Linked DNA regions of Xenopus tropicalis. The protein of the gene in region 1 interacts with the protein of each later gene in a pairwise test. Links are inferred from orthologs where the notes say so. Each region holds a gene or a part of one and is shown in the gene's direction. Other genes may lie near its edges. The genes, in order: mab21l3, aggf1 and stac3.

Region 1 (7,037 bases):
AGCCCAGGAGCAGGAAGTACAGAGAATCAGAGCTCTGTACCTGGGTAAGTACTGGGGGGAGATTGGATTCACTTACCCAGGGGGAGGTTCCTGCCTGACCATGGGAAAGAGAGCAGCCCAGGAGCAGGAAGTACAGAGAATCAGAGCTCTGTACCTGGGTAAGTACTGGGGGGGGGGATTGGATTCACTTACCCAGGGGGAGGTTCCTGCCTGACCATGGGAAAGAGAGCAGCCCAGGAGCAGGAAGTACAGAGAATCAGAGCTCTGTACCTGGGTAAGTACTGGGGGAGATTGGATTCACTTACCCAGGGGGAGGTTCCTGCCTGACCATGGGAAAGAGAGCAGCCCAGGAGCAGGAAGTACAGAGAATCAGAGCTCTGTACCTGGGTAAGTACTGGGGGGAGATTGGATTCACTTACCCAGGGGGGGTTCCTGTCTGACCATGGGAAAGAGAGCAGCCCAGGAGCAGGAAGTACAGAGAATCAGAGCTCTGTACCTGGGTAAGTACTGGGGGGAGATTGGATTCACTTACCCAGGGGGAGGTTCCTGTCTGACCATGGGAAAGAGAGCAGCCCAGGAGCAGGAAGTACAGAGAATCAGAACTCTGTACCTGGGTAAGTACTGGGGGGAGATTGGATTCACTTACCCGGGGGGGGGGTTCCTGCCTGACCATGGGAAAGAGAGCAGCCCAGGAGCAGGAAGTACAGAGAATCAGAGATCTGTACCTGGGTAAGTACTGGGGGGGGGGGATTGGATTCACTTACCCAGGGGGAGGTTCCTGCCTGACCATGGCAAAGAGAGCAACCCAGGAGCAGGAAGTACAGAGAATCAGAGCTCTGTACCTGGGTAAGTACTGGGGGGAGATTGGATTCACTTACCCAGGGGAGGGGGTTCCTGTCTGACCATGGGAAAGAGAGCAGCCCAGGAGCAGGAAGTACAGAGAATCAGAGCTCTGTACCTGGGTAAGTACTGGGGGGTGATTGGATTCACTTACCCGGGGGGGGGGGGTTCCTTCCTGACCATAGGAAAGAGAGCAGCCCAGGAGCAGGAAATACAGAGAATCAGAGCTCTGTACCTGGGTAAGTACTGGGGGGAGATTGGATTCACTTACCCAGGGGGAGGTTCCTGTCTGACCATGGGAAAGAGAGCAGCCCAGGAGCAGGAAATACAGAGAATCAGAGCTCTGTACCTGGGTAAGTACTGGGGGGAGATTGGATTCACTTACCCGGGGGGGGGTCCTGTCTTACCATGGGAAAGAGAGCAGCCCAGGAGCAGGAAGTACAGAGAATCAGAGCTCTGTACCTGGGTAAGTACTGGGGGGAGATTGGATTCACTTACCCAGGGGGGGGTTCCTGCCTGACCATGGGAAAGAGAGCAGCCCAGGAGCAGGAAGTACAGAGAATCAGAGCTCTGTACCTGGGTAAGTACTGGGGGGAGATTGGATTCACTTACCCAGGGGGGGGTTCCTGCCTGACCATGGGAAAGAGAGCAGCCCAGGAGCAGGAAGTACAGAGAATCAGAGCTCTGTACCTGGGTAAGTACTGGGGGGAGATTGGATTCACTTACCCGGGGGGTTCCTGTCTTACCATGGGAAAGAGAGCAGCCCAGGAGCAGGAAGTACAGAGAATCAGAGCTCTGTATCTGGGTAAGTACTGGGGGGAGATTGGATTCACTTACCCAGGGAGGGGTTCCTGCCTGACCATGGGAAAGAGAGCAGCCCAGGAGCAGGAAGTACAGAGAATCAGAGCTCTGTACCTGGGTAAGTACTGGGGGGAGATTGGATTCACTTACCCAGGGGGAGGTTCCTGCCTGACCATGGGAAAGAGAGCAGCCCAGGAGCAGGAAGTACAGAGAATCAGAGCTCTGTACCTGGGTAAGTACTGGGGGGAGATTGGATTCACTTACCCAGGGGGAGGTTCCTGCCTGACCATGGGAAAGAGAGCAGCCCAGGAGCAGGAAGTACAGAGAATCAGAGCTCTGTACCTGGGTAAGTACTGGGGGGAGATTGGATTCACTTACCCGGGGGGGGGGGGGGTTCCTGCCTGACCATGGGAAAGAGAGTAGCCCAGGAGCAGGAATTACAGAGAATCAGAGCTCTGTACCTGGGTAAGTACTGGGGGGAGATTGGATTCACTTACCCAGGGGGGGGTTCCTGCCTGACCATGGGAAAGAGAGCAGCCCAGGAGCAGGAAGTACAGAGAATCAGAGCTCTGTACCTGGGTAAGTACTGGGGGGAGATTGGATTCACTTACCCAGGGGGGTTCCTGCCTGACCATGGGAAAGAGAGCAGCCCAGGAGCAGGAAATACAGAGAATCAGAGCTCTGTACCTGGGTAAGTACTGGGGGGAGATTGGATTCACTTACCCAGGGGGAGGTTCCTGCCTGACCATGGGAAAGAGAGCAGCCCAGGAGCAGGAAGTACAGAGAATCAGAGCTCTGTACCTGGGTAAGTACTGGGGGGAGATTGGATTCACTTACCCAGGGGGAGGTTCCTGCCTGACCATGGGAAAGAGAGCAGCCCAGGAGCAGGAAGTACAGAGAATCAGAGCTCTGTACCTGGGTAAGTACTGGGGGGAGATTGGATTCACTTACCCGGGGGGGGGGGTTCCTGCCTGACCATGGGAAAGAGAGCAGCCCAGGAGCAGGAAGTACAGAGAATCAGAGCTCTGTACCTGGGTAAGTACTGGGGGGAGATTGGATCACTTACCCGGGGGGCAATCCCATTATAAATGTAGGTGGGACTAGGGGATACTTACTCTGTTCCCAGTACCATTCTGGGTCTGATCTTGCCCCGACTCCATATTACAGGTTCTGAGCCCCTCCCAGTTCTTGGTGACTGTTCCCCTTCGGGGTCTCAGTGGCTTCGGGCAGAAGAGGAGCCGGCGGTGGCGTTACTACTCCCCAAGTGGGACCCAACTCGTGGCACCGGCGATGGAACCCGAGAAGCTGCACCAGTGGCTGGAGATAGAGCAGTTCCAGAAGAGCGCCCCCCATTGGCACGACAACGACGTCAACATCAAGGGGGACCTCGTCCCCGCCCGGGTCATACATGTCCTCTTGGAACACCTCTATAGGGCCATCACCTTCTGCAGCCTGACTGGTAAGGGTTAAAGTCCTACCTGCCACATTGCCCACATGTAGGTGAGTGTGAGTGTGAGTGTGAGTCACTCAGGGTTGGACCTCTCTCTGCCCCCAGACAAGGTGAATGTACTGGAGTCCTTTGGGCCCTCCATCAGGCTGAACGTGGAGACCTCCGAGCAGATGGTGGAGGTGGAGCTGGTTCCTGTGCTTGAGGTTCCGGGGTTCTGGCCCAGAAAAGCCCAGTGGCCCCGGTTCTTTAAACGTTGGCCCCCAAGGGAGAGAATACAGTGTGTCAAGGTACCAACAAACCAAAATGTGGGGGTCGGGACTATAAATACCCTCTGGCTGGGGTGGTGGGGGCCTAACATTGGGGGGTTCCCCTATGGGGGGAGATAGAATGGGAACAAGTTTGTGGCTCGGAGAAGATAAGTCACCCCCAAACCATGGACTGCAGCATTTAGGGTATTGAGCAACTGGGGTGTATGGCTCATGTTGGGGTGCAATTAGACCCCTGTAGGTCAGACAGTTGGGGTGTATGGCTAATGTTTGGGGTGCAATTAGACCCTTGTAGGTCAGACAGTTGGGGTGTATGGCCACTGGTACAGTTTGGGGTGCAATTAGACCCTTGTAGGTCAGACAGTTGGGGTGTATAGCTACTGGTACAGTTTGGGGTACAATTAGACCCCTGTAGGTCAGACAGTTGGGGTGTATGGCTACTGGTACAGTTTGGGGTGCAATTAGACCCTTGTAGGTCAGACAGTTGGGGTGTATGGCTACTGTTACAGTTTGGGGTGCAGTTAGACCCTTGTAGGCCAGACAGTTGGGGTGTATGGCTACTGGTACAGTTTGGGGTGCAGTTAGACCCTTGTAGGTCAGACAGTTGGGGTGTATGGCTACTGGTACAGTTTGGGGTGCAGTTAGACCCTTGTAGGTCAGACAGTTGGGGTGTATGGCTACTGGTACAGTTTGGGGTGCAATTAGACCCTTGTAGGTCAGACAGTTGGGGTGTATGGCTACTGGTACAGTTTGGGGTGCAGTTAGACCCTTGTAGGTCAGACAGTTGGGGTGTATGGCTACTGGTACAGTTTGGGGTGCAATTAGACCCTTGTAGGCCAGACAGTTGGGGTGTATGGCTACTGTTACAGTTTGGGGTGCAATTAGACCCTTGTAGGTCAGACAGTTGGGGTGTATGGCTACTGTTACAGTTTGGGGTGCAGTTAGACCCTTGTAGGCCAGACAGTTGGGGTGTATGGCTACTGGTACAGTTTGGGGTGCAGTTAGACCCTTGTAGGCCAGACAGTTGGGGTGTATGGCTACTGGTACAGTTTGGGGTGCAGTTAGACCCCTGTAGGTCAGACAGTTGGGGTGTATGGCTACTGGTACAGTTTGGGGTGCAGTTAGACCCTTATAGGCCAGACAGTTGGGGTGTATGGCTACTGGTACAGTTTGGGGTGCAGTTAGACCCTTATAGGCCAGACAGTTGGGGTGTATGGCTACTGTTACAGTTTGGGGTGCAGTTAGACCCTTGTAGGCCAGATAGTTGGGGTGTATGGCTACTGGTACAGTTTGGGGTGCAGTTAGACCCCTGTAGGTCAGACAGTTGGCTGCTGTTTGGGGGTGCACCTTGGACCTGTGTATGTGGAACAGGGGTCAGGATGGCCGGGTACTTGGGTAATTGTTACATCTGTGCATTTTCCCCCATTTCCCCAATTCTCTCTGCCCCCCAATAGTCATTTGGCTTTGACCTCCTGGCCCGGTCGAATTACCACTGGCAGCTGTCTTTCCTGAGAGGAGAGCGCCTCCTGCTGGAGACAATGGATGAGGACGGGGGGTGTCGCATGAAGTGCTATCGGGCCGTTCGGCAGATGAAGGAGGATGTTTGGTGCCCGGGGAGTCACCCCGTTATCAGCTCCCACCACCTACAGGTCTGTACCCCGAGTACCGAGCCTGTGGCACCTTACAGCCCCCCTGGCATTCCCAGTACCCAGAGACACAAACAGCCCCCCCAGCCCAATAAATAGTGACTGTCTGTGGCACCTTACAGCCCCCCTGGCATTCCCAGTACCCAGAGGCACAAACAGCCCCCCCAGCCCAATAAATAGTGACTGTCTGTGGCACCTTACAGCCCCCCTGGCATTCCCAGTACCCAGAGGCACAAACAGCCCCCCCCCCCCAGCCCAATAAATAGTGACTGTCTGTGGCACCTTACAGCCCCCCTGGCATTCCCAGTACCCAGAGGCACAAACAGCCCCCCCAGCCCAATAAATAGTGACTGTCTGTGGCACCTTACAGCCCCCCTGGCATTCCCAGTACCCAGAGGCACAAACAGCCCCCCCCCAGCCCAATAAATAGTGACTGTCTGTGTCACCTTACAGCACCCCTGGCATTCCCAGTACCCAGAGGCACAAACAGCCCCCCCCCCAGCCCAATAAATAGTGACTGTCTGTGGCACCTTACAGCCCCCCTGGCATTCCCAGTACCCAGAGGCACAAACAGCCCCCCCCCCCAGCCCAATAAATAGTGACTGTCTGTGGCACCTTACAGCCCCCCTGGCATTCCCAGTACCCAGAGGCACAAACAGCCCCCCCAGCCCAATAAATAGTGACTGTCTGTGGCACCTTACAGCCCCCCCGGCATTCCCAGTACCCAGAGGCACAAACAGCCCCCCCCAGCCCAATAAATAGTGACTGTCTGTGGCACCTTACAGCCCCCCCGGCATTCCCAGTACCCAGAGGCACAAACAGCCCCCCCCCAGCCCAATAAATAGTGACTGTCTGTGGCACCTTACAGCCCCCCTGGCATTCCCAGTACCCAGAGGCACAAACAGCCCCCCCAGCCCAATAAATAGTGACTGTCTGTGGCACCTTACAGCCCCCCTGGCATTCCCAGTACCCAGAGGCACAAACAGCCCCCCCAGCCCAATAAATAGTGACTGTCTGTGGCACCTTACAGCCCCCCTGGCATTCCCAGTACCCAGAGGCACAAACAGCCCCCCACCAGCCTAATAAATAGTGACTGTCTGTGGCACCTTACAGCCCCCCTGGCATTCCCAGTACCCAGAGGCACAAACAGCCCCCCCAGCCCAATAAATAGTGACTGTCTGTGGCACCTTACAGCCCCCCCTGGCATTCCCAGTACCCAGAGGCACAAACAGCCCCCCCAGCCCAATAAATAGTGACTGTCTGTGGCACCTTACAGCCCCCCTGGCATTCCCAGTACCCAGAGACACAAACAGCCCCCCCCCCCCAGCCCAATAAATAGTGACTGTCTGTGGCACCTTACAGCCCCCCTGGCATTCCCAGTACCCAGAGGCACAAACAGCCCCCCCCCCAGCCCAATAAATAGTGACTGTCTGTGGCACCTTACAGCCCCCCCGGCATTCCCAGTACCCAGAGGCACAAACAGCCCCCCCCAGCCCAATAAATAGTGACTGTCTGTGGCACCTTACAGCCCCCCTGGCATTCCCAGTACCCAGAGGCACAAACAGCCCCCCCAGCCCAATAAATAGTGACTGTCTGTGGCACCTTACAGCCCCCTGGCATTCCCAGTACCCAGAGGCACAAACAGCCCCCCCCCCCAGCCTAATAAATAGTGACTGTCTGTGGCACCTTACAGCCCCCCTGGCATTCCCAGTACCCAGAGGCACAAACAGCCCCCCCCCAGCCCAATAAATAGTGACTGTCTGTGGCACCTTACAGCCCCCCTGGCATTCCCAGTACCCAGAGGCACAAACAGCCCCCCCAGCCCAATAAATAGTGACTGTCTGTGGCACCTTACAGCCCCCCTGACATTCCCAGTACCCAGAGGCACAAACAGCCCCCCCCCAGCCCAATAAATAGTGACTGTCTGTGGCACCTTACAGCCCCCCCGGCATTCCCAGTACCCAGAGGCACAAACAGCCCCCCCCCAGCCCAATAAATAGTGACTGTCTGTGGCACCTTACAGCCCCCCCTGGC
Region 2 (7,037 bases), on another chromosome or scaffold:
CAGATACCCCTACCGTACCCCGACAGATACCCCTACCGTACCCCGACAGATACCCCTACCGTACCCCGACAGGTACCCCTACCGTACCCCGACAGGTACCCCTACCGTACCCCGACAGATACCCCTACCGTACCCCGACAGGTACCCCTACCGTACCCCGACAGATACCCCTACCCCGACCGATTCACCGACAGACACCCCTACCATTCACCGACAGATGGATCCGAATGAGGGTGAACATAGGGATCAGCCGCTCTTCTAATAAAATACACAGCTGCATATTTTAGTAGCACTGTATGAATAAAGTTCTGCATACATCCAGATTTACCAAGGGGGAGGGGGTGGGCAGGGAAAGGCACATATGCTCCCCCAAATATTGTATCCAGTGTGAGGGGCACAGTGCAGCTTAACCCCAGACAGAAGTTTTTTTCTGCATACGCACTAAGGGGTGCACTCTTGTACTACTGTCCAGGGACTTTGTCAAAGACACATGTACTCTGTACCTACACATGTAAGCTCTTATGGTTAAGTGGTTAATATTCTTTGAAAAAATACTTTGTATAGCTTTGCATGTAGTTGGTTCTATAAGAATAAGGGTTTCGTTTTACCATATGTCACCATAATGATTTTTCTTGGTTCTTGCAGGTAGAGCAACTAAGTAGAGAACTTCATGAAAGAAAGAGAGCAGAACAGACAGCCCAGGAAGTACAGACAGATGGCTATTATGGTTGGGCACAATCTGGTCAGTATCAGTTTTTTTTTTTGTTTTTTTTTTAACAAGGAACTTGTGCACATTTAAAAGCAAAATATGCTATTTTGATATGCATATATTGTGGGGAAAATGTCCCAACAGAGACAGCTCCCCTTATTTAGCAAGAGTATATAAAATTTAGCAAATATGCACATTGAAATTAAGCATCCAACTGCCAAGACTTGCAAAAGAGTGGTTATTTGCTATATATCATTTTAAAATAGAAATTTAAAAGTAAGCTTTCACTTTTTTTTTTTAAAATTAGTATTAGGGCTTAGGTCTAGATTATAATTGGAATAAATACAATGAGGGGTGGTCACTTACACATAGAATTCAGTCTGCATCAGTTTTAAAGATTACGCCAAACTAAATAATCTATATAATAATCTAAATAGTACACAAAGGTGGTATGTTTTTGCAGTTAGGTGGGTATTTTTTGCAGATGAGAATTACATTTCGACACAAGCCTTTGTCAAGGGGTATTCTCATTGACTAAGGCCAGTGCCAAAACATTGGGGTCATTTTCATTTGCCCAAAAATATCTGCTTTGCTTGGTGGTATGTATTGTATACATGGGTGTGTCTGCATTTAAAATTTTGCAAATTACTGTACAGGTATGGGATTTCTTATCTGGAAACCTGTTATCCAGAAATCTCTGAATTACGGAAAGCCCGTCTCCCATAGACTCCATTTTACTCAAATAATTCAGAATTTTAAAACTGATTTCCTCATTCTCTGTAGTAATAAAACAGTACCTTGTAATTGATTCCAACTAAGATATAATTAATCCTTACTGGATGCAAAACAATCCTATTTGGTTTAATTAATGTTTTATTAATTCTTTAGTAGACTTAAGTTATGGAGATCCAAATTGCGGAAAGACCCCTTATCCGGAATACCCTTGGTCCCGAGCATTTTGGATAACGGGTCCTATACCTGTATATGCCAAATTGTTGTATTCTAATGAACTTTTAAAGGGGTTGTTCACCTTAGAGTTAACTTTTAGTATGATGTAGAGAGTACTATTTTGAGACAGTTTGCAGTTGGTCTTCATTTTGTTATTTGTAGATTTTAAATTATTTCAGTTTTTGTTCAGCAGTTCTCCAGTTTGGGCTTTCAGAAGCTGTCTGGTGGCTATGGTCCAAATTAACAACCAGGTAGTGGTTTAAATTAGAGATTGGTATATAAATAGGGGAGGACCAATACAGAAAAAGTAATAAGTAACAATCACAATAAAACCCTAGCCTTACTGAGCAATAGTTTTTGAGTGCAGTGATCGAATTGGATAACCACATTTAGCCTGCAATTAATGTTTTGTAAAGAGATCTTAAATGTTAATTACATTTTTTTCTAGATTATTGTTCCAGTGGAAATGATTACAGTGGATTTGCACCAGGTATGTCAGAACAGGTCAGTGTGACAGAAGACAGCAATTCTTCACAAGTTGTAGCAGAAGCAGTGCTGAATAAAGCAGGAGCAAGCAGCGGTCAGTTTGTGGAAGAGGTGCAAGAAGATACTGTATACGCGCAGCAAGCTGAGGTAATGCAGCCTGTTGGGATACATAGAACTACTGCAGTCTGAAGAGTATAGAGGTCTTTGTTGGGGTACTGACTAAGCAGTTGTAATACATTAATCAGCTAGATATTCTTTTGTGTAATATGGTTAATGAGGGGGCCTTAAAAAGACTTTACAGCCGAGTGAATAAAACAGATCTGTTTGTTGTTGTATTTAAATACTCGTTCTATTTCTTCTATAAGGAAGAGCAGGGATGCTCACTGGCTGACAGTCTGAGGGCGACCGCAGAAGCTGCTGTGACGCAGACTGGATTTGTATATGATGAAAACACGGGGATGTATTATGATCACAGTACTGGATTTTATTATGATTCGGTACGTTGATTTGGAGCAACTATAAAATGCCTATTATTTTTAAAAAATTTGCTTAGGCTGTTTACATTTTGTAACTGGAGTTATTGTGTATCATATCAAGGAGTCCCAGCTATATTATGATGGTACCACTGGTATATATTATTACTGTGATGTGGATAGTGGCCGATACCTATATCATTCCCGAGTGGATCTTCAGTCATTCACTGACACAAACCCTCAGCCAACAAAAGATAAAAGGAGCAAGAAGAAGAGGCGAGATCCGGCCAGCATGGAAAAGGAGGAGGAGAAGGAGAAGGTCTGTATTACAACTTTATACTTTTGGAGGGTTAAAACTCCTCCAAACAAGTTAAAAAAAAAAAAAAGTGCAGTACGAAATGCCCTCATAATGGGCTTCCTCTTGAAGACACTTTTAGGGTGTTATATAATAAATAACCTATAGCAACCAATCAGCAGGAAGCATTAACTGCAGCAGTCATCTTATTGGTTTTATTGGATGCAGATCCTGGGCAAACTTAGTACATTTTATTACATTTGGGGGTTTTGCCTAGGCAGGTTCTGTGACCTAGGTGGTAAATTTAGTATATAAGCAGCTTCTCCAATGGAACTTGCTCTACCAAGCTCACAGCTGAATGGAAGGAGCTACATCTCCCCTTCTCAGCAGAGCTTTATAAGGCAATATGTCAGAGAGATTTGGGTCTTGTATGTTGACAGACATCAACATCATTTAGGAAAATTAAAATATCTTTATGGCTAAAATGTGGCCAAATTATAGCTTAGTTGAATAAACTATACTGCACACTCTGCTCTTTGCATCAAAACATTTTATTTAAAATTTAATTTAATTTGCTTGCATAAATTTACCTTACTCAGACATAAAACGAAAACTGTAAGTGACCCACTCCTTAAAACCCAAGTTGGCTGTCCAATTCTGGTTCTTTTTTTTTACTTAGAATATTTTATAAAGGTTTGTATACAAACGCCACTGTTTTGACTCCTTATTGCTTCATCCCCAGGCAGTTCTTCCACCATTGCTCTCTCTACTGGAATGTGAAAAACTATAAGATTAGCACCAAAATAATACAATGAGACAAGCGCACATTATGTTTTTTTTTTTTTAATCAATTTGTTAGTCGGCTTTTTGTTTTATTATTAGATACATTGGTCGGCTTAAAATGGACTTGTTAGTTAGCTTTTTCTTGTCAGTTCATCAAGGTTGTTAGGGTATACTAGTCTAGCTATATAGGTCTGTCTTCTGATTTCTGCATCTTGCAGTTAATATATTAATTGAGATTTCCCTTTAAACGTGTACATGCATTTTGGGTTTTGTCAGTAACAGGTTTATATACTAAAATGAAGAGCAGGTTGTGCAGCAACAGAAAACTGCGTCTGGCACAATGCCCTTGAATAGCTTTTTGTTCATTTTTTTCTTGGTTGAGCAAACTGCACGGTAAATGTGTCCAGACAACTGGAATAGGGAACCAACTGTATAAGGACATTGTGTTCCTATTTGCTAAAGGTGGAAGAACATTAGATGTCTAATCTACTTTTTTTGCTAAACAAGCTACAGGTTTTGGACTTTAGTGCTTGCATTCGTGCATTCATTTTTCTTCATCGCCAGCTTGACTAATAATCTTGTCTTTAGGTACACAATTTGGCTGACACCATGGCTAGCTTGAAGATTTCCACTTTGGGATACACACCATATAACAAAGGTAGAGTTGAGATGAAAGTGCCAATTTAGTTAGAAACATCATTCATTAATTTGGCAGATGTAAACACAAGACTACCGATTAGCACCTCTGTACATTTTACCACGCAGCCAGCTGATAATATTGCACGTACCATGGGGCTTATTGTGAGGCTCTACATTGTGCTTTTCTCCCCTATACTAACCTGCTACTTTGAGCTTTACTTATTCATGCCTTTGTTAGCATGACCTTTGCAGACAAACCTTGTGTAAGATTATGTTTCTTCTTCTTGACTTTTCTTTTTCATGTTCCTTGGTGCTAAATCGCTAATACTATAAATTTAATCAGTTGTTACCACAGATGGGAAGTCTCCAGCAAAAGTAACTATGCAACCATCATGCTTGTTCCATATACTAATTGTCTCAAAATAGCATTTGAACTGTGCAGTTACATATTTGGATTGAGAACTTTGGACAGGTCTCTGCTTGAACAAGTACTGTACAGCCTAATTTTAGTGTTTTGGTATGCTTTATGGATCTGATTGAATTAAGGCGAATTCAAGATAAATATTCTAGGGAGCTATACAAGCATGAAAAATGTTCCTTGGCTGTTTGGTATGGCCATGTGGGCTGCCAGCCTGCGGTGAAGCACTGTTTGGAGGTGTCCTTGTGTCTTTATGCCTCTATAATTTGCCCCCAGTGCTAGGAATTTAAACAGGAGCACCTCATTTGAGGCCACTGGGTACAACATCAAAGGAGTAGAGAGCATGTTCCATATGAGCCACTGGTTGGGGATGTTAGACAGCTCTAAGTTGCAGGCAGTACAACGCAATACCTCTGATACAAAGAAGCATGATAAAGTTGTGTCATCTTCAAGTTTCCTCACAAAGTTGCACGTCTTTGTTCTTTTTTGTGCTAGAAATATTTTCAGTAATGGGTATGTTATTCATTTGTAATCCAGGCCTTTATTTATATTGGCATGGCAGTTCTTGGGGAAAGTGTTTGTTCTGTGGTTATTTTTAACAAACATTCCATAATGATCCAAGGATCATTTTTGTCTTTGTTTTTTGTCTTTGGGCTTTGTTTTAATTCAGTCTTGATAAAAATTGACCCCTTTTTGTAACCTTAAAACCAGATCTTCCCTGGACTCCAAATTTTGATATTATAGACCCTAAAGATGCTCAGTATTCAGAAATGGAGAAGTGGTGTTTGTACAGGAACCTTCATAAGATATTCCTAAAGTCTAAAACTACAGCAGCCAGGCGCCTGATATTTGTCGTGTTCTACTATAGTTTACGTTACTGTATTGTTCTGTTGCTTAGCATATTTCTACATGTATCCATCATGAGACTTCAACAGCAGCTGCAAAACCATTTTAGGGTTTATATAGTAACGTGGATGTGTTACTGATTGTAAAACCACCTCTTATTGTTTGGGCCACCTATGCCATTAATGTTATATATGATCCATTTTTTCCCATCTATAGGATCATCAACCAATGACTTGGCAGCATTTCTGTAGTAATTTCACTGATCAGCTGTTCTTGTTTCTTAAAAATAGCAATAATCTAACTGTCAAAGGACCGATTTGGCAATATATGCCAAAGATGGAATGAACATAATGAAGTTATGTAATAAATGGCACTAAGTTTGTAACCCATAGCAAACAATCACAGGTACCATTTACTGGTCACCTGTTTAAAAGCAAACATCTTATTAGTTGCAATGGGTTACAGCACCTGGGTAAACTTAGTGCTTTTTATTGCACATGGGGGCATATGTTATGGCAGCCAGTCAGACTTTTAATTAGACCAGGCAAAACCACTGGCAGGGCAAAGCATGTCATTTTACTATATAACCCCCTTGGTTTCCACTTGCATATGATGTTTTTTTTAAATCATGTTCTGGGGAACCTCAAAGTTCTTGCAGTATCAGTTGATTTCTCAAGATGCTACTGTGTTGTCACATTTTCTTTAAGGATACAGAGAAAATGGAACATGAGCCAGTAAGCCCCCCTGAAAGGGAAGAATTGGCTGCTGAGAGAAAGAAAGCTAGGATGGGCAGTTTAGTAGAATCTTATGAAAGAGAGAGCTCATCCTCAGATGAGAGTGAACCAGAGGAGGGAGAAATCACTGACTCTGACAATGAGAAGACTTCCAGTGATGATGACAGGTCAAGTGGACTAAGCGTCACTTCCCACACCTCAGAGCCTGAAGGTGACCTCATTTTGCTGAATGTATGCATTTGCAGGCAGAAATATGATTCTTTGCAACATGGTTGGAAAAATGGATTCAGCTGGTAACTATATTTCTAAGATATTTATTGAACTTCTTTAAATAATAATAAAATAATGAATCGGTCTGTTAGAAATTATTTTCATATTATTTTGTGGTTTAATAAGTATTTTATATTTACCCCTAAATCCATTTTCAATGTCCGTTGTTTATAGTGTAACGTTGAACTCTTTACATTGTTTCTTTACACTGGAATTTATACCCAAGTTCTATTTGCAACAGCACAATATAAAATTGAAACTGTTCCTCTTTTACAGCTCAGCGGTGCCAATATTAGATATATTATTAGATAACCGCCAGTGAATATTTCTTATTTTCTTTTCTGGGGCAGTACTACTTTTAGAAAAAAAAATGCAAAGGGCCCTTGGTTAAAAAGCAGTGCAGCGCACACAAGCTTACATTCTTTTCCTAGACTTC
Region 3 (6,946 bases), about 140 Mb from region 1:
TTATAACAACTGCTTTGTCACATACATATAGTATATATAGTGGCTGTGATCCTAGACAACCCCCAAAATTGTACTCCCCTGTAAATCTGAGCATCCTTTGGCACACAGCAGTATAAAGTATAACTTAGTAGTGGTCCCATTCATTTTTATGCCATTTAGTAACAAGGAGAAGATATATAACTTTGCGCACATGGACTAAACCATCTAATCCATCTTACCTTTTCAAAGTGTATTGTACATTTTAATTGTAATTGTCCAAGTGCTTGGAGTGCAGAACGCAGTAAATATTGCATTGTGTATAGATATCCTATTCTGTTGCCTGTCGGATAGTGCCAGGAATATTTAGCTGATTTGTTTTCTTCTTGAGCTGCTGGATTTTGTTCTCAGCATCAGAGAATGTTTCATTGTGTGGCTGATAACTCTGCGAAAAAATTTAAGATTTACGTTTTTTAGACAGCAGGTTCCCTCTTTAGTTCATGTTCCTTTAAAACCAAAATATTGTAAAATTCTTGCAGGCAGAAATGGTTCCCTTAGTTTGCTAAACATGAAAAACAAACAAAAACATAAACGCTGTCGCCATTGTTATTATCTATTGGTATATCCAGATATTGATGGTATTTATTTATGTGGACTGATAAATCTTACAAACACATCATTTTTACTGTGCTTTACATGTGGAAGATAAACTATTCTAAGGGTCATTTACTCCGACCCTGGACACAAGGCCTAGAGCACTAAGGGGTGCAAATGTGCACCACGTCAACTACTGACACACTGATTCTTGGTCTGCAGATAAATGAAGGCAAGGAAGCAACCCCTACACTTGCCTCAGCCTTTCCCTGTGCCTACACTTTTTCAGAAATGAATTCATTTTTTGCGCAGCTTTACCTTTCTGCTTCTTTCCATTTGTGGTTATAGAATAAGAAGGCGCAGCCTGGGTTCATGCAGTCCCATTATTTTGTCGCTTTGTATCGCTTCAAAGCCCTGGAGAAGGATGATCTAGATTTTCAGTGAGTATAGCCTTGCTGGCTAGTATAGTCTCATACAGCTATTCTCTAATTTGTGCCCCATGTGAGAGTCATAAACAGAAAGTGCCTTGCTATTTATGTAGTTCCTCAAAGGGTAAAAATGATGCTCAGGGAACTTTGTAAGCACTTTTCCAATTGACCTTGATCATTTTTTTTAAGTTTTAGAGCTGTTAAGCTATTTATTGGTAATATAATGTGCTACCTGCTGGTCAGTTGCTCTGACTGTATGGTGGTAAAGATATATGTTCAGAAGGAAAACAGAAAACTGTTCTAATGTTGCTTTGTGTAGGAAAGAAGCACAAACCTCAGATAACTTTGCAGATTGACCCAGTTTCAGCAAATTAGCCCAAGTGTTTGGAGGGAGTATAGGCTTCTATAGGTATGGGATCCATTATTCAGAAACCTGTTATCTAGAAAGTTCCAAATTATTGGTTAGCCATCTCCCATAGACTCCATTTTAAGCAAATAATTCATATTTAAAAATAAAATCCTTTTTCTTATAATCCTAAATTATAACCTAATCCCAACTAAAATATAATTAATCCTTATTGGAAGCAAAATAATCCTAATGGGTTTAATTAATGTTTGGAGGTCCAAATTATGGAAAGATCCCTTATCCATTAAACCGCAGGTCCCAAGCATTCTGAATAATAAATCTCATACTTACTCTCATAATTCAAGATGTAAGGGCAATTTGATAAATGTTTATTACTAATTTAATATGTGTACATTCTATTTAGTAAAGGTTTCATGCTCTGTTTTTGGATTGTGAAAGTAATATCCCATAATAATATCCCCTAGGAAGGAATATCCCATAATAATATCCCCTAGAAAGGAATATCCCATGATAATATCCCCTAGAAAGGAATATCCCATGATAATATCCCCTAGGAAGGAATATCCCATAATAATATCCCCTAGAAAGGAATATCCCATAATAATATCCCCTAGAAAGGAATATCCCATGATAATATCCCCTAGGAAGGAATATGCCATGATAATATCCCCTAGAAATGAATAGCCCATGATAATATCCCCTAGGAAGGAATATCCCATGATAATATCCCCTAGAAAGGAATATCCCATAATAATATCCCCTAGAAAGGAATATCCCATGATAATATCCCCTAGAAAGGAATATCCCATAATAATATCCCCTAGAAAGGAATATCCCATGATAATATCCCCTAGAAAGGAATATCCCATGATAATATCCCCTAGAAAGGAATATCCCATAATAATATCCCCTAGAAAGGAATATCCCATGATAATATCCCCTAGGAAGGAATAGCCCATGATAATATCCCCTAGAAAGGAATATCCCATGATAATATCCCCTAGAAAGGAATATCCCATGATAATATCCCCTAGAAAGGAATATCCCATGATAATATCCCCTAGAAAGGAATATCCCATGATAATATCCCCTAGAAAGGAATATCCCATGATAATATCCCCTAGGAAGGAATAGCCCATGTCTTGTCCCTGAATTTCCTTGCACATTATTGTTTTCACAGAGCTGGGGAAAGAATCACCGTAATAGATGACTCCAATGAAGAATGGTGGAGGGTAAGTAATAAAAATACAGTTGTCCTTGTACAAACGGCAAATTCAGCAAAGTAAACATTGTGACACATAGAAATACTTCCAGCCCAGGCCAATTCTGCCTTAAATATAAATAGTGATGAGTGAATTTTTTTTGTGAAACAGCCGCAAAAATTCACAGAGTAAGGAAAAAGTTACGGTCACATCAAAACAGTTTTGCTAATTTTTCAGCAAAGCAAAACCGATTCATCACTTAAAGCCACAGTGAGCCTGGTCTGCTTTTGCATTGCACGAGAGTACTCTTTGTTTCCCTAGGATGCCCAACAGTGTAGCAATAACCCCTGTATTAGCATATCACCAACAATCCCATCTTAAAGGAACAGTAACGCCAAAAAATGAATGTGTTTTAAAGTAATTCAAATATAATGTACTGTGGCCCTGCACTGGTAAAACTGGTGGGTTTGCTTCAGAAACAATGTAATAGTTTGTATCAGGGCTCCCCAACCTTTTATATGCATGAGGAAAATTCAAATAAAAAAGTAGGATTCCTAGGGTGCCAAATAAGAGCTATGTTTGGCTATTTGGTAATCTCTATGTGAACTGGCAGCCTATAGAAGACTGTTTGGCATTATGCCGGGTTTTTATGCAACCAAAGCTACCTACTTTGAGGCCACTGAGAGCAACATCCAAGGGGGTTGGTGAGCAACATGTTGCCCCTGAGCCACTGGGTGGGGATCACTGGCTTATATAAATAAAGCTACTGTGTAGTAATGGAGGCAATTGCAATAGGACTAAATGGCACAGGTTAAATAGGGGATAACAGAGGCTCTGTAGAACACCATTATATTCTATAGAGCTTATCTGTTATCTGCTACATAACCTGAGCCTTTTCTCCTTTGAATGGCTGCCCCCACACAGCAGCTTATTTATACAAACCATAGTAGTTTCCCTGAAGCAAACCAGTGCACAGCAACTGTATTTTATTTGTGAGTATTTTAATTACTTAAAACCATTTTCATTTCTTCATTTTTTGTGTTACTGTTTCTTTAATATCATTCAAACTAGTACAGTCAGGATTACATGCACTTATATTGGGAAAAAGAGCAAAGAACACAGCTGTTACAGATTGCCTACGTTGCCTTTCCTCTATCAACTTATTTCAACATTACTATTGTTTTTTATACACCTTATTTTAACTTTCTTACTGCTGCAAGTTATAATTCAGAAGCAGCCTGAGAGCCACACGTTAAAGACCCTGTTATGCCGTGCTCTAGTTGGCTTCAAAGTTGTGGCAGCAGAAGCTGCATTAGGAAGTTGCAGAACAAATTCCAAATGTTATAAAGCCACTGAACAGTGGAACTGAAGTACAGAGATAGGCTGTTATTGGTCTATAAGTATAAAGAGGTCATGAGGCTAGAAATCCTTAATGTGGAATTGATAGAAACATGTGCTGGTTATTAAGTGAAAATCAGACGTGTGACCCTTTCATGCAACTCTATATTTATACTCACGGAATTGTAGAAATCAGAATTTCCGGCAACAAAAGGAGTATCCAATGATCTCTACTTCAGCACTAACAAAGGAACTGGAAAACTAGCATGGATGTGTAAGAAAATAAGAAATTCATAATTAGCAGCAAAGAGTAAATAATGAATAATCCATAAAGAGAATTACAGGTATGGGACTTGTTATGCAGAATGCTTGGGACCTGGGGTTTTACAGATAAGGGGTCTTTCTGTAATTTGGATCTCCATACCACAAGTCTACTAAAAAAATCATTTAAATAAAGTAGGATTGTTTTGCCACCAATATATATGCAGTCATCATTCAAACTACTTGATTTAAATGAAGTCTGTACTCGTTTTGAAAACTGGGAACAATATTAATGATTTATTTCAGGAGCACATTTCAGAACTTTCCTTTTTACAAAATTAAATTTGACTGAGAACATCAGAATATGGTGTGCATTCTCCTGTTCACAGAAATATTTTTTTTAGAATTATTTGTAGAGAGATACCAAGGCTACTGATGGGCAAAACGGGTGCATTTTGCTTTGCCATCGAATTGGCAAAATGAGAAATTTCCCCAAAATGCAATGGAGTCGATGGGAAGCTGAAATTACCTTGTTAGAAAAGCTCATTTTCACTATTCTACAACTATTCTTCATAGAAGGCCCAATGTTGCCATTTGTTCCAAAGATGGTGCCTGGACACCTATAAAAATGGTGTGGAAGGCAAGGAGTAGACAATACTGATGCCTGTGGTTTTTTAATGGTGCACTAGGCTGTGTTTTTTCCCAGCACAACAGAATGCATGGCAAATTCTAGTGTGGATTCCCAAAAATTGTTGCAAAACCACAAATTTTGTCACAAATTTTTATGGGGCAAAAAGTTCACGCATCCCTTACCAAGGCCTTGTATAGTAGGCATATCTATTGAAAACACAACCGTAGAAGAACAAATTGTTAATTCATGAACACAAGACCATCTAAACAGAAAATAGTGAGATGTAAGTTTACTGGCCCATAGAGCAATTTCCATTTAGGAGAAGCAAGAAAATCAAAAGCACTGATCTCTAATGATCTTGGTACAACGATCTATAAATAAATTAAGGAAAATTGATTGTGTTTTATTTATTTGCCTTCGTGTTTGGCCTCTCTTTGTTTTAGGGTAAAGTTGGTGAGAAGGCAGGCTACTTCCCAGCTAACTTTATTATCCGGGTCCGAGCTGCAGAAAGAGTGTATAAGGTGACCCGATCTTTTGTAGGAAATAGAGAAATTGGACAAATCACTCTGAAGAAAGACCAGGTAGGTGCCTATTAATATGCTGTGAGCCAGGCATTAAAGATACAAGTAAAGCATATCTATTAAACTTACTGTAAAAGTCAATAATGCTGTCTAAATCCAGTGATGAAAGTCAACAAATGAGCATTAATGACTAATATAGTTCAACACGAAAGTTATTCATTTAGTTAAAAAGTTTAGGTTTTTTAACCACCAGATATACTGTAGTTTGGAAGGGAAGATGTTCAGGGAACAAACTATATCAACCCAGCTCCCAAAAAATTACCTGTTCCCTTGTACCTATTGGCCAAATGTAGAAGCAGTGGCAGCCATGTTTGGCTGTGTAACTTTTGGTTCCTGTCTCCCTGATCACAATTACCCACAAGGAGCATGTAATCTGAAACCAGGACCAGGTTGGCTTCCAGTGTGCATGCTCCTGTTCATGAATTATGGGACTGTAAAGCTGGCCATACATGCACCGATAATATTGTATGAAACCCCGTTTTGTACGATATTCGGTGCGTGTATGGCAAGTCGGCGAGTCGACCGATATCGCAGGAAGCTGCTGATATCGGTCGACTCGCTGGTCGGACCGGTTAAAAGATTTTGATCAGGCGCCATAGAAGGCGCCTGACCAAAATCTGCCTTCAGCGCTGAATCGGCAGAAGGAGGTAGAAATCCTATTGTTTCTACCTCCTTATCTGCCTGTTTCAGCCCTAAAGGCTAGTTGCGGATATTCACCACGTTAAGGGCTCTGACACACGGGGAGATTAGTCACCCGCGACAAAACTCCCTGTTCGCGGGCGACTAATCTCCCAGAGTTGCCTTCCCCCTGCCATCCCACCGGCGACAATGTAAGTCGCCAGTGGGATGGCACACGCGGCGGCGTGGTTCCCAGGGGACTAATCTCCCCGTGTGTCAGAGCCCTAAGAGACACAGCAACATGGCGGCTGCTAAATCTCACTTTATTTCTTCTTGGTAGTCGTAAACAAAATGAATAATACACAGATAAGCCCTTTTTATAATGAGCTGTGCCCTATCTCAGAGCAAAACAAAGGTTGCAGTTTGATGTTTGTTTAAACAGAGGTTATTATCTACCTTTAAATAAATTACCCTCTTTACAGGGGAGGAGTTGGGGGGAACACAACTATTTCCCTTTAGTGCTATATAATGGCAAAAATGGCTTTTTGGTTTTTATTAAAAACCTGTTTTTGTTTGTTTTATTTCCTCAATATCAAAGTAATTTGCCTCTCTAGTTATTAAAAAAAGACTGGTAATTATAATTCACTATATATTATCTCAATAACAGATTGTGGTGCAGAAAGGAGATGAAGTCAATGGATACATCAAAGTGTCCACAGGGAGGAAGGTAGGGCTATTTCCCCTAGACTTTCTGCAAGAAATCTGAAGAAGGAACAAGATTAAGAGTATCTGCCTGGGAACCCCGGAACAGCCCACACAGGAAGAACCTTCCCAATGCTCCTGACTAAAGGACTATCATCAGTATGATCCTTCATTCACACCACTGTGGATACTGAAATGAGAGTCTTTCAGAAAGCTGTGCTCATTGCTCTGCTGACTCACTCAGCATT

What was found.
Region 2: the proteins of mab21l3 (region 1) and aggf1 interact in binary tests that used the Homo sapiens proteins (3 or more experiments, as listed by UniProt). The two-hybrid records come from large-scale screens. The link is inferred for Xenopus tropicalis from reciprocal best matches to the Homo sapiens genes MAB21L3 and AGGF1.
Region 3: the proteins of mab21l3 (region 1) and stac3 interact in binary tests that used the Homo sapiens proteins (3 or more experiments, as listed by UniProt). The two-hybrid records come from large-scale screens. The link is inferred for Xenopus tropicalis from reciprocal best matches to the Homo sapiens genes MAB21L3 and STAC3.

Annotation. Positions count from the first base shown.
Region 1 is NC_030678.2:1,107,337-1,114,373, reverse strand, and holds part of mab21l3 (protein mab-21-like 3), read left to right. Parts: intron 1-2,808; coding exon 2,809-3,100; intron 3,101-3,196; coding exon 3,197-3,378; intron 3,379-4,811; coding exon 4,812-5,006; intron 5,007-7,037.
Region 2 is NC_030677.2:185,018,210-185,025,246, reverse strand, and holds part of aggf1 (angiogenic factor with G patch and FHA domains 1), read left to right. Parts: intron 1-645; coding exon 646-742; intron 743-2,105; coding exon 2,106-2,290; intron 2,291-2,508; coding exon 2,509-2,640; intron 2,641-2,740; coding exon 2,741-2,935; intron 2,936-4,282; coding exon of another isoform or gene 4,283-4,352; intron 4,353-6,304; coding exon 6,305-6,542; intron 6,543-7,037. UniProt on the Homo sapiens protein: Promotes angiogenesis and the proliferation of endothelial cells. Able to bind to endothelial cells and promote cell proliferation, suggesting that it may act in an autocrine fashion.
Region 3 is NC_030678.2:140,043,905-140,050,850, reverse strand, and holds part of stac3 (SH3 and cysteine-rich domain-containing protein 3), read left to right. Parts: intron 1-918; coding exon 919-1,010; intron 1,011-2,545; coding exon 2,546-2,597; intron 2,598-5,240; coding exon 5,241-5,378; intron 5,379-6,663; coding exon 6,664-6,762; 3' UTR 6,763-6,946. UniProt on the Homo sapiens protein: Required for normal excitation-contraction coupling in skeletal muscle and for normal muscle contraction in response to membrane depolarization. Required for normal Ca(2+) release from the sarcplasmic reticulum, which ultimately leads to muscle contraction.